Linked DNA regions of Arabidopsis thaliana. The protein of the gene in region 2 interacts with the protein of the main gene of each other region in a pairwise test. Each region holds a gene or a part of one and is shown on either strand. Other genes may lie near its edges.

Region 1 (5,340 bases), on a different chromosome or scaffold from region 2:
TTGGTTTCTAAATCATTATAGTGTCATTCAGTTGTGTTAAAAATCTAAATGTAGACAATAATTGAAGGGAGAGTATAAAGAGGAAGTGAGGTGATGGAGAATGAAGGACATTAGAAGCTAATGTTATATAAAAGCAAGTTGGGACAGTTGAGGAAAATAGCTTTGATTTTAGTGGCAAATTCATAACTAATTCTCCTTTCTTCATGTTTCACCTTATGGGCCTTTTTTGTTCCTTGCCACCACACCATGAAGTTTGTTACATTTTTAATAGTCTATAATGCAAAATATCATATTCTTATAATAAGTTATAACCAAGTGGACACAATTTTGTTATTCAGATTTGAACTCTAATTTGGTATTTTGTCACCTCATGTGAATTTAACACCCCAAAGAAAAACATACACTGAAACGGGTCGGGTTAGTGGAAGAAAAGAGAGTAAACGAAGAAGACGACAAAGAGACCGGGTCATTCACGGCGTCGGCTGTCACAAACGACGACCTTGACGGAGACATTAGTATTTTCTCGCCGTCGTCAAAGTTTCACAACTCTTTCCGTTACGTTACTTACACGCGCCTTAAACGTCACGCGCCTATGGAGGACCACTAAACATGGTGTTTAATAATTATTTTTATTTTCTTGTTGCATAAGAATTTCCCGGCAACGAAACCAACTTCTATCTTGTCCTTTAATTGCTTAACCAGATTCATATATATTACACTCGAACCACTTGAAAAGGATAGTTTTATGTTTACACATTCAATTTCTAAAGTCATTCTCATGACAACAAATCACTCCCATGATATTTTTTTTGAAATGACATGAGGTTTAATACTAATAAAGTATATTTTTACAATCAAATCAAATCAACAACATTACATTTTAAAAAAAATCCAATATATATCTCACAACATAAATTTGAAAATCCAACAATCAAATGTTTCCTCCTAGAATAATGAATTAGAAGAGTGTACAATGAAACGAATCTCGTTAGTGCCAATAAATCAAAACTAGAAGACAAGATTTTCTTCTATATCCAAAGAATCCAATAAAAACGGTGTATTACCATCATCTTCATCACCATCACATGATCTAGTCATGAGTTCTTTTGCTCTATGAACCTCAACTTCCCAATCAGTCCTAGCCAACACGACCAGCATCGAAATCAGGCACGAGCCTTGTGCTGCAAATAGACCGAGCCATAGTCCTTTGAAGTCAAACCCGCTAAAGAAACTTAACCATACAGCCACTGGCATTCCCACAAAGTAGAAACAACACAAGTTTATGTTTGCTCCTAACTTAGGTCTCGCACTTCCTCTCAACACTCCACACAATGTGGTCTGAGGACAGTTTCCTAGCTCGCAAAGCCCGATGATCGGTAAAACCATTGAAGTCAACTTCACAATCTCTTCCTCATCTGTGAACAATCTTGCCCAGCAATTCCTCACCATCAAAGCGAAAAACATTGCCAATAAACCTAAACCAAGGCTTAAACTAAGTCCGGTTCTCGCAGCTATCCTCGCTTTATCAGGCTGATTCGCACCTAATTCATTCCCGACACGTGTCGATACGCTGATACTCAGAGAGGAAGGGAAAATGTAGATCAAAGCGGTGGTTTGGATCAAGATTCCCATAGATGCCACGGTTGCTTGCGGGTTAAGTAACAATCCACATAGAAGAATCATGATTTCATACCACCACCACTCTAAACAAACCGAGACGCAGCTAGGGATGGCTAGTTTCATTAGAGATCTCCATCCTTTAAAGCAATCCATTGAGAATCCTCCCCAAGTCTTCTGGTAAACACCGGAAAACACTATGTAGATGATTAGAAACCCTAGGAGATTGACATTAGTCCAGATTGCTCCCAAGGCGACTCCTTTAAGGCCGAGACCGAGAGAAGAAACGAGAAGGTAGTTAATCGGAATGTGGAGTAATACTGCGAAGAAAGCAGAGTAGGTTAGAGGAAGAGTGATCGATTGAGATCGGAGGTAGATACGGATAGGATGTAAAAAAGATTGGAGGATCAGATCAGGGAGAGAGAAGAGGATAAAGATCTCAGCTTGGTTTGAGATTTCTTCGTCTTGTCCGAAGAAGAGAAGGATCTTCTTGATGTTGAGCCAGAGGATAGATATGGGAAGAGAACAGAGGAGAAGCAAAAGTGTGGTTCTTTGCAAAGCAAGGCCTAAAAGTTTGAATCTTTTGGCGCCAAAGGCTTGAACGCAGATGGGTTCCATGCCGATAGAGAGACCGGAGAGGAGAGAGTAACCCGTGATGTTAGCGAAGCCGAGGGCGAGTGAGCCACCGGAAAGAGCAGAGAGATCGTTGAGACGGCCGAGGAAGAGCATTGAGATCATTGAGCGAGAGTAGAGAAGTAAACCGGTTAAGATCAGTGGGAGAGATATTTTGGCGATTGATTTGGCTTCTTGGATCGAAGAGGAAAGGTGGGTCGGGTTCGGATTCGGATCTTGTCGGTGATCTGTTTGGTTCTTGATGATCATCAACAAAGGAGCTGCCATGATTACAGGTTTGAGAGAGAAGAGAGAGACAGAGACAGAGAAAGGAGATGATGAAGAAGGTGTTGTTGATGTGTGAAAGGTGTGTTATAAGTTTGAGATTAAGTCACTAGTTAAGGTTAATAGTGATTAAGGCCCTTAAGGGAACAAGAGAAGTTTTTTGACTCAGAAATTAGTCTTAATTATAACAGAACAATTTTGGCGGTTTATTTGACCGGCCATTATGTCATTTGTTACGACTCCGTCTTAATTCAGAGACACTATTTTATTCTATTTTCATTTGTGGAAAACCAATAAAAAAAGTTTAAAGAAAATATGATTTTTGGATGTCTATTTGGAATCATTTTACTTTCTTCATGTTGATTTGGATTTTTTATATATATAATAGTATTGTTTTTCTTTGGATGTTTATGCAACTCTTTTCTTTTAATCATGGTTACGTTTATTAGGATTTTTGTTTCCATTTGGAGATAAGTTTCCAAGAAAATATTGATATTTGGATGTTTATTAAGAATTTTTTTTATTCACGATTAATTTATTGTCTGTATTTCGTTTAATTTATAGTTAGATACTTAGATACATACATACAATACAACTCAGCATAGAAAGAGTTGAAACTTGAGACGTTTTTGGGATTTCTATTCTTTAAATAATAAACCAGTGTAACAAATTGACTCATGTCGTTTCTTCCTCACTTTTAATAGTATTGAATTTGACCATTATGGGTAATTTTCATGTGCCAAAAAAAAAAAACGAAATGGATTCTTTACAAAATCAAATAAGTAACTGCTCGAAGTAGTAGTAAAGTAGTAAGCTAGTAGGGATGGACACAGATCATATACCAGAAAATTAAGCAGCTATACAGAGAGGTTGGTATCAAGTTGTTACGAAATACTAAGATTTAAAATTTTATGGACCATTTTATATAAAACTTGGGACGATGTTGATGCTTGCAATAAAGTGAGAAGAATTATATAGAATATTATACCTACTTAATGCTTATTTCTAAACTTCAAAACAATTTATTGGACCACTCTATTGATCATATAATCGAGGGGAAAATTATAGTTTGGCAAAAAAAAAGGCTTGCTTTCATAATTAGTTTCAAGAGAACTTAACAGAAAATAATAATTAGTTTAAAGAGAATATTTTTTATTAGTGTTTATTAATTTTGGGATAAGAATTTATTGTTTGTGCATAGATATAATACGATGTCACATGCTTCACCTCTATAGAATGTGGACCATTAATATAGCTTAAGGATGATGGGGAACAAAAATAACATTATCTTATCACGAGCTATGTCGATCGTTTATTATATTATAACAAAAAAAAAAATTAACAACTGTAAATAGAAAAAAATATATATATATAAACTATATGAAATAAAAATAAATACAAATGTAAATATAGAAGTAACAAACAAATATAAATAACATGATAAAAAAATTATAATTTACGTATTTCAGAGATTTTATATTTATATTTTTAGAAATGATTAGGGTTTCCAAGTCAAATTTTCGATCAATTTTCTAAGTTACAACTTACTGTTACTTTGTATATGAACGAAAGAGAATTGATTTCCTTTTGGACTAAAATTGTTGTCAAGTGTTTATTATGTTTTGATTATGTTTTATTTATGTGAAATTTCAGAGTATTTTTTCATTGTATCTTGAATATCAAATATCATTAACAAATTATGTGAAAATTAATTTACGTCGACTTAAAATTAGGTTAAGGTAATCTTGACAAGGAAAAAGGGCAAGGTTATCGAGGAATCTAATAGTGTTTTGGTTAAAATTAACAAATTTTTTTCATTAACACAATTGTGTTCCTAATTCTCATCACACTGTCTATAACGTATTTTCCTATAATCAGTATTACCGCATATACTTAATGGTTGTTCATCCATATGCATTCTAGAAACAATATCTTCATATGATCAAAGTAATTAAACAACAATATCTTGTGAGACAAAAGATGTCATATAGTCAAAAATGTTCAAAAATCTATAATATCCTTGGCATAGAATGAATCAACCCCATAAAGATCCTAAGTAATAGGAGGAATCCTAATAGTCTAATTTATTCATTCTCATGCATGTAACTTTAACTAAACAAACCTTTGTGTCCTGTCGCTTGATAACTTCTGTTTATATGAGATTAACCATTATCCGATAAGCTAAGAGTAAATAAAGTACTCTATACTATTCAATAGCTTAATTTAATACACTTAACGTCTATATATGTATATAGAACCTGTCGTGGGATCTAAGACAGTAAGACATCAATCATCGTATTATCTTATAAAAAAATTACTTAAATGCTCGTGCTTCATTTGGTATATCTTTTAAGTCTTAAGTTTGCAAACATTGAAACAATCATCTGTGTGGATGCTATTTGGTTTGGAATATATTTAACATAAACCCAAAAAAGGCTTACATGCCTTTTGAATCATTTGATAGGATTCTAATGACTTTCTTTAGTCTTAAGCCGAGTTCTTAAGGGCAAAAATTCGTTTATAGATTATTGTCTTGAGAACAAAAAAAATCCATAACCAACTTTTTGTACTTCATATCAATGATTTTGAAAGAACTCTGTAATATTCATATCAAATGATATGCATAGGAACATGAAGGAATTGTCAGACTTGTTAGTCTTATGGAAAGCGGCATGGTGGAAATTGGAAGACATTTTATCGTTTAAATACAATTGGTTTTTCAATAAGTAATAAATATCAGATACTGGTGACAAAAAAGGTCAAAACATTTTTACCATATTTTATTTCGTTGTATTAAATTGTGTTGGTAGTAATTGGGAAAAGATA
Region 2 (6,610 bases):
AAGTAACATAGTGGAATGTAAGAAAAATAAAATAATGGAGTTAAGGTTTTTACTTAATCCCTTATTTTTATCATCCACGAAATATTTACATATGAAAAGAAGCATAGACCAATCAACGATTAGGACCGTCCGACATTGTGTAGTCGATTAGCGATTTCTAGAATCACTTTCCAATTTTAAAATAGAAGTAAATCGACGAAAGTAAGGAAAAAAAAAAAAAAAAAAAAGAGAAAACGTAAATCATGAGAGCATTTCCACATGATCTCTTTGTTCCTTTCTGATTAATGAAAAATACTAAAGTGATTCCACAAATCATGTCTGATACGTGCAAGTTGTCAACTAAGATATTTTAGTTCGCAATCAGATTTAAAGAACATCTTTATGGATAGCACTTGCAATATATTTACTAAATGACTAAAAATTCAATAGTTTTAACGAACAAAGAAAAAAAAAGTCAAGATAATTGAAATATCAGAAAGGTGGTTAAACAATTAAAGGATTGATCTTTATGATGTATGCAAATAGATCAACAGATGCACGTAACCTACCACAAATCTGGTTGGCACAGCGATAGCTTAATTACGTCTAGGGAGAGAATTAGAAAACCTCATTTTCGGAACCTTAAAAGGAAATAAATTGTCTTTATTCTTTACTAACTTTTAGAGAGGATAAGAATTAACCTAGTTTTATTTGTTGCCCTATCACTATCCGTATCTGAAAACCCTATGCTATCGAGAAAATATAAAAAAGAACAATGATTTTTGAAAAGGAAATATCTCACAAATCAATTCAACTTTTAGGAATGAGGCCGGAAATGTGGAACACATACAGAACAAATAAGTCCGAAAGTAGAAACTGTGGGTCTACAGGTTTCAGAGAACTGGTAGATTGATTAATAGCATTAGCAACTAGTAAAAGTAAAAAAAAAAAATGTTAAATATACAATGAAAGCAAAAAGCCAATACCTTAAAGTTCAATTTTATATTTCTTTTTTTTGGGTGTAAAACTGGGACTATACTATACATACATTGGGCTAATTTACTGAGACAGAGAGATATCTAAACCTTATGTTCAAGTGATCTCTTTCTCAATTGCACATCAAATGAGGTAACAATTACAACAAAAAACTATAAACCTCCCCCCAATTGTAATCTAAGAAAAAATGAATAACTTTAAACAAGTCAAACTTGATCTCATTGTAGAAAATCTGTAAGAGAAGCTTGTATATCTTCCAATGTTCTTCCTTTAGTTTCGGGTACCATCGCATAAATAAAGACTATACCCGCACCACATATAGTAAAGAAGATCAAGAACGTTCCTGAAACAGATTAATATATTTCAAAAATTAAATCAGATTAAAGATCTAATTTTTTTTTGAGAGTTTAATGACTCTATAGTATATTATATAGTAGTATGTATTTATACCTGATGCGTTCCACTCTAGCATGAAGTTGTAGGCGAAAGCAACAATCCAACCAAAGGACCAGTTGGCTAAGGTAACCAGAGTCCCAGCAGAAACTTTAACATTCATTGGGAATATCTGCAAAATAAAAAATGTAACATTTTTTAGAGCTGGAAAAAATATATATATGTCGGTTTTTGAGGAGTTAATGTTAATGTTCATGTTTGTTTACCTCAGACATGATGATCCATGGTAAGCCTCCCATGCCTACGGCAAATGAAGAGATGAAACCCTGTAATATGATGTCAAATTCAGATCAAGTTATACAAGAGCTATACTTTAAGTTGCTTGTTTATTATGTCTAAGAAATGACTTTAAACGTACCACTACACCGATACATGTGAAAATCGGAGTGAGCTCATCAAGCATGCCATATGACTGTCCAAGAACAAAAGTAGAAAAATTTTAGTATAACTGGTAAGAATCTCCAATAAACAGCAGCAAAAAAAGTTTGTATATATCTTTGGTTAGAAAGCGAATCGTTAATGTTAATTACCCGAAAGCAGAAGGAAAAACTGAGGAGCAAGCTGAAAAAGCACATTCCACCGGTAGAGGCCTGTAAATAAAGATCATTCATCTGTTAAAAGATATATGCTAAATTTTGTTGCTTCATTTGATATTTGACCAAAAGATCAGATAGCAAAATCTTACCAATAGAAGTGGTCTTCGTCCCATTTTCTCAACCAAAATCAGACCCAATAGAGCTTTTGGTATCTACAAAAGCAGAACACATGAGCATAAGTGTACTTCTTGGCAAGATTTTTCACGAATAAATGAAACTACGTACAAAGACATACCATGATCACTGCAAGAATCATTGAGCCAATGCTGCTTGGAAACCCTGCCATTAGTAAGAAAATATTTGTTACTCCCAAATGAAGACAGTAAATTATCGTAACATGCGAAACAGAGTTTGTTTATCTATTTACCTCCTTTATCAAATACGCTACCGACATAGTACATAAGTCCTGAGCTTCCAGAGAGTTGTTGTAGAAGCATTAGTCCCACACCAATCTGAACAAAATGTCACAAACTTCAGAGAGTAAGTATAACGGTACAAGAGAAAATCAACTTTTTTTGTCACAAAACGTTTGAGAATAAACTTACAACAACAGATGGAGCATATCTTCTCTGAAACAAATCCATAACCCGCGATTTTGGTCCTTCATCAAACAAGATCATGGTTTCCTATAGTTGACATTTCCAATGATTTGTTCATTAGTCATGTTTTATTGAAAACAACACAATTTAAAAACAGAGAGATGTGTGAAAAGTTGCAATACTTTGATAGTGTTGGCTTCTTCAGAGATATCTGCATCATCTCCGCGAAGACTTTGCAATGAAGCTCTACATTCTTTTTCATGTCCCCATTTTCCCTATACACCATTGTAAACCATATTGAGTTTTACTTCACACTTTTTTTAAAAAAGATCAAAACTTAAAAAGGGCTAAACGTACCAGTAGTCTAGGGGACTCTGGAATAAAGAACAAAGTCACAACTTGCAACGCACATGGAATGAGACCTGAGAGACAGAAACCGATAAACTTAAATCACTTCTTGATGAAAATTTCATAACTAACCTGCTAGAAAGAAAAAAAGGATTAGGAAGAAGCTTACCGATTAAGGCCAAGTTACGCCAATGAACAAAATTTCCAATGACGTAGAATAAAGACAATCCACAACTCTGCATCAGCTGTAACGACATTTGAACAAATTTTAAGAACATTAGTATAATATATATCTTTTTTATTTTATGGTTATAAGAATTTATTCTCTAATTATTCTTTAGTTTACCTGATTAGCAAATACAAACGCTCCTCGAACATGTTTTGGTGTTATTTCTGCAATGTAAACTGGTATCTGAAGGCAACAGAGTTAACACAAAGTCAGTAAAAATAAATAAGTATATAATACACAAAATAAATGGAAAAAAAGAAAGTAAAAGAATTATTACCACATAGCTTAATAAACCAACTGCAAATCCTGTGGATAGTCTTCCAATATCAAGCCACATGGAGTCTTTTGCTAATGCTACTGCAACCCAACCGAAGATGCAGAAAATTTGAGCAAACCACATAGTCTGTTTAAGAGAAAAATTCATCAGTACATGATCTTGAAACATATGTTTGTATGAATTTCAAATTGTCAGGAAATTTACCCCTTTTCGACCCATGAGATCTGCAACTTTCCCGCTGAAGATGGCACCAATCATTCCTCCAAAAGTCATGATTGAACCAAACATGGAGTACTGAAGTAGTAAACAAAAACAAAAAAACAGAGTAATTTAAGCAAAACTAGCACTTTTTGAGTAAAGATTCAAGAAAAGAGAGAGGGTTGCTTCTTACTTGTGCAACAGAGAGACCTAAATCATTTATGATCCCTGTTTGAGCAACTGATGAATAACCTGCCTGTAAAATCCAACCCCAAACTTTCAAATCACAGAGCAAAACAAACAGAGAAATTGTTTTAAAAAAAAGATGAGTGATTTGATGACTAACCGCACAACCGAAGCAGAAAGAGCCACAAACAGAAACGAAAGTACTGAAAAGTACAACAGCAGTGATACGACATTCGTTGATGTCGTTTTGGTTCTTCCTCAGTAGCAAACCAGCTTCCAAGTTTCTTGAGTTCTCCGACATCGTCATCTTTAACTTCTCCACGGAGAAAGAACAGAGAGAGTTTTGTTGAAAGGGTTCTGAAGTTATATTTACGAATAAATATTTGCTTTTTTGTCTTCCATAAGAGGACTGAGTTTAAAGCTGATTTATATTCCTTGATTAATGGAGGAGGAAAGGCAGAGGTCAGCTTCCCCAATCTTTTCTTTTGTGTCACGTTTCTGTTGGGGTTTTATTCAATTTTATATACACGTATTTTGTTTTTTAATTTGAAATTGTATCTTCTTCTGTTTTCCTTATTTAAATTTTTAAATATTGTGTAATTTGTAATTGGACTGGCGTATGAATTTTTTGTTGTCAATACGTATGATATTTATTTTTGTTTACTTTTTTTTTTTCTTGGCCGACAGGCGAATGATATTTATTTAAAAGTTTTGCCTTTTTGAAAGAATATTTATTTAAAGTTATGTGATTCATCATCATCTTTATGAAATTGTGTTTTGTGTCTTAGTGGATGCTTTGATTATTTTATGCTAGTTGTTATCCACTCTTTATTTATTGGGTAATTTTGAAGGTGGTCCCTATACCGAATCAAAACCGTAATTGGGTGAAATTTTGTGATGAATTTTATGTAAGTGAATGTCTAGATACATTTATGAATCCGTTTTACATAAACCAGTTTAGTGTTAACCGGTCTAATTAAGTTTTTCTTTTCTTTTTTTGTTTAAGCTTTGGTTTTGTCTTTTTGGTCTGTTTTTTTTTTATATATAACCAAACAATGTAACTATTTTGTTCTCAAAATAAAATAAAAATAAACAATAAACACATGCCACATGTTCTACCGTTATCTAAAGATCAGGATATCCTAGCTACTATATTCTTATCCATGGAGCAAACCAGATAAAAAAAGTTTTTTTTTTTGTGTGTGTGTCTTTTTGTTATGGTCCAGTTCAATAACCAATAACCATTTGTTAGTCATATTTGATTCAGATTTTTTTCCCAAACTATTCCTTAGACAATCTGACGTCATTACTAAACAAAAATCATCCTCAATAATTTAAAACACTGAAATATCCGATAATTATTTAATATTTTAATTCTAATTTAAAACACTAAATATTATTATTTTTTGAATTAATGAATCGAGCCAAATTAATCATCTATTTAGAATCGTCTAGAGCGTATACGTACTATTTTGGTTTTAATAGAAGTGTGATCATTTGAGAAAATCCAATGTATTTTTTTCCAAAAAAATATTATTTAATTACCCATAGTCAAGATTAATTATAAATAATATACAACAGAATTTTGTCAATGTAAAGCTAATTTGTTTATTAACTCGAGTATAAAATGTCAAACATTATATTGAAAAACGAGTTCTTAAATAATCTGGATAAGAGTAAAATACAATATTTCTTACGTGAATAACCAACTTACAAATATTATACTACCTACGTAGTTAATCAATTCATCACAAATTGATATGAGTTGTCACACTTGCTATAGTTTCCATGCAATAAATAGTAAACGCGTTGATCGTGGTTTGTTTGAAGTTTACATAAAAAAAAAAAAGTCGTGCACGTTAGCTATTGCGTTAGAGAAAATGATACAACTCAACATTCCTTGTAAGCAAATCTAGAAACTACTACATATCCATTTTTCAAATGTCTTACGTTCAATCAACGGTTTCCCCTCACACTTCTTCATATATTTTGACATTTTTGTCAATATCTAATTTGATACGACAGACTTTTCTCTTTCTAGTTGCGGACACAAGGAATCATCAACAACCTTTGAATTTTCCCGGCAAAAAAGGTATTTGTTGTCCTATCTCATTCTATCAATAAAAAGGAAAAAAGATCAAAGGCAGTTTTAGGCGTTTAAACAAAATAAAAGATGCTGCCAAAAAGAAAAACAAAAACACGATTTAGGAATGCTTAAAGAAGAGAGAGAGCGATGTTCATTTTTGTAGCCTTACCAATGTTACGAGGCTCCACCTCGATAGAGCAACATTACATTCACTAAAATCAAGGAAGTACAAAGAGTAATCAACGTTATTCGTCACTATCACAAATTTTATGCTGCATGTAGAGGTAACAGGTTGAACGCACGTTATACAAATGGTTGGTTCATTTTTTCTTTGAAAGAATTGATATGATGGATTAAAAAACAAATTTACCTAAAAAAAATGAGGTTATCGCTCTACAATTGTCGTTCACCATTCAACACTTTTACTGGAGGACGACGTATTACATACTTACGATGTCAATTACATCAAAAATATCAACCATAATTATTAGGCTTGTTCCTTGACCAAAAAATAAATAAATTATTTGGCTTGTTTTTCTATACTAGCTATTTTTTTTTTTGCTAAACAAAATATACTAGCTAATTACTTATAAAGTTAGTGAGCTCTTTATCAAACATTTAAACAAAGATTATATAAACAATAAATACCAACTTAGATGAGTTTTTTGTTTTTGTGTAGCAGAAAAAATAAAAATAAAATGAATAATCTTGGTTTAGCTGGCG

What was found. The genes of interacting proteins can lie anywhere in the genome.
Region 1: the proteins of ESL1 (region 2) and AT4G23030 interact in a protein complementation assay, tested with the Arabidopsis thaliana proteins (one large-scale study listed by BioGRID).

What each region holds. Positions count from the first base shown.
Region 1 is NC_003075.7:12,070,034-12,075,373, reverse strand, and holds AT4G23030 (MATE efflux family protein), read right to left. Parts: upstream 2,615-5,340; 5' UTR 2,518-2,614; coding exon 1,009-2,517; 3' UTR 794-1,008; downstream 1-793.
Region 2 is NC_003070.9:2,864,944-2,871,553, reverse strand, and holds ESL1 (ERD (early response to dehydration) six-like 1), read right to left. Parts: upstream 4,296-6,610; 5' UTR 4,109-4,295; coding exon 3,962-4,108; intron 3,872-3,961; coding exon 3,809-3,871; intron 3,712-3,808; coding exon 3,622-3,711; intron 3,544-3,621; coding exon 3,418-3,543; intron 3,324-3,417; coding exon 3,258-3,323; intron 3,157-3,257; coding exon 3,081-3,156; intron 2,986-3,080; coding exon 2,921-2,985; intron 2,839-2,920; coding exon 2,746-2,838; intron 2,651-2,745; coding exon 2,570-2,650; intron 2,477-2,569; coding exon 2,392-2,476; intron 2,304-2,391; coding exon 2,260-2,303; intron 2,177-2,259; coding exon 2,114-2,176; intron 2,040-2,113; coding exon 1,959-2,039; intron 1,841-1,958; coding exon 1,787-1,840; intron 1,695-1,786; coding exon 1,635-1,694; intron 1,541-1,634; coding exon 1,426-1,540; coding exon of another isoform or gene 1,364-1,425; exon of another isoform or gene 1,324-1,363; intron 1,319-1,323; coding exon 1,194-1,318; 3' UTR 898-1,193; downstream 1-897. UniProt on the Arabidopsis thaliana protein: Sugar transporter. Transports monosaccharides across the vacuolar membrane independently from a proton gradient.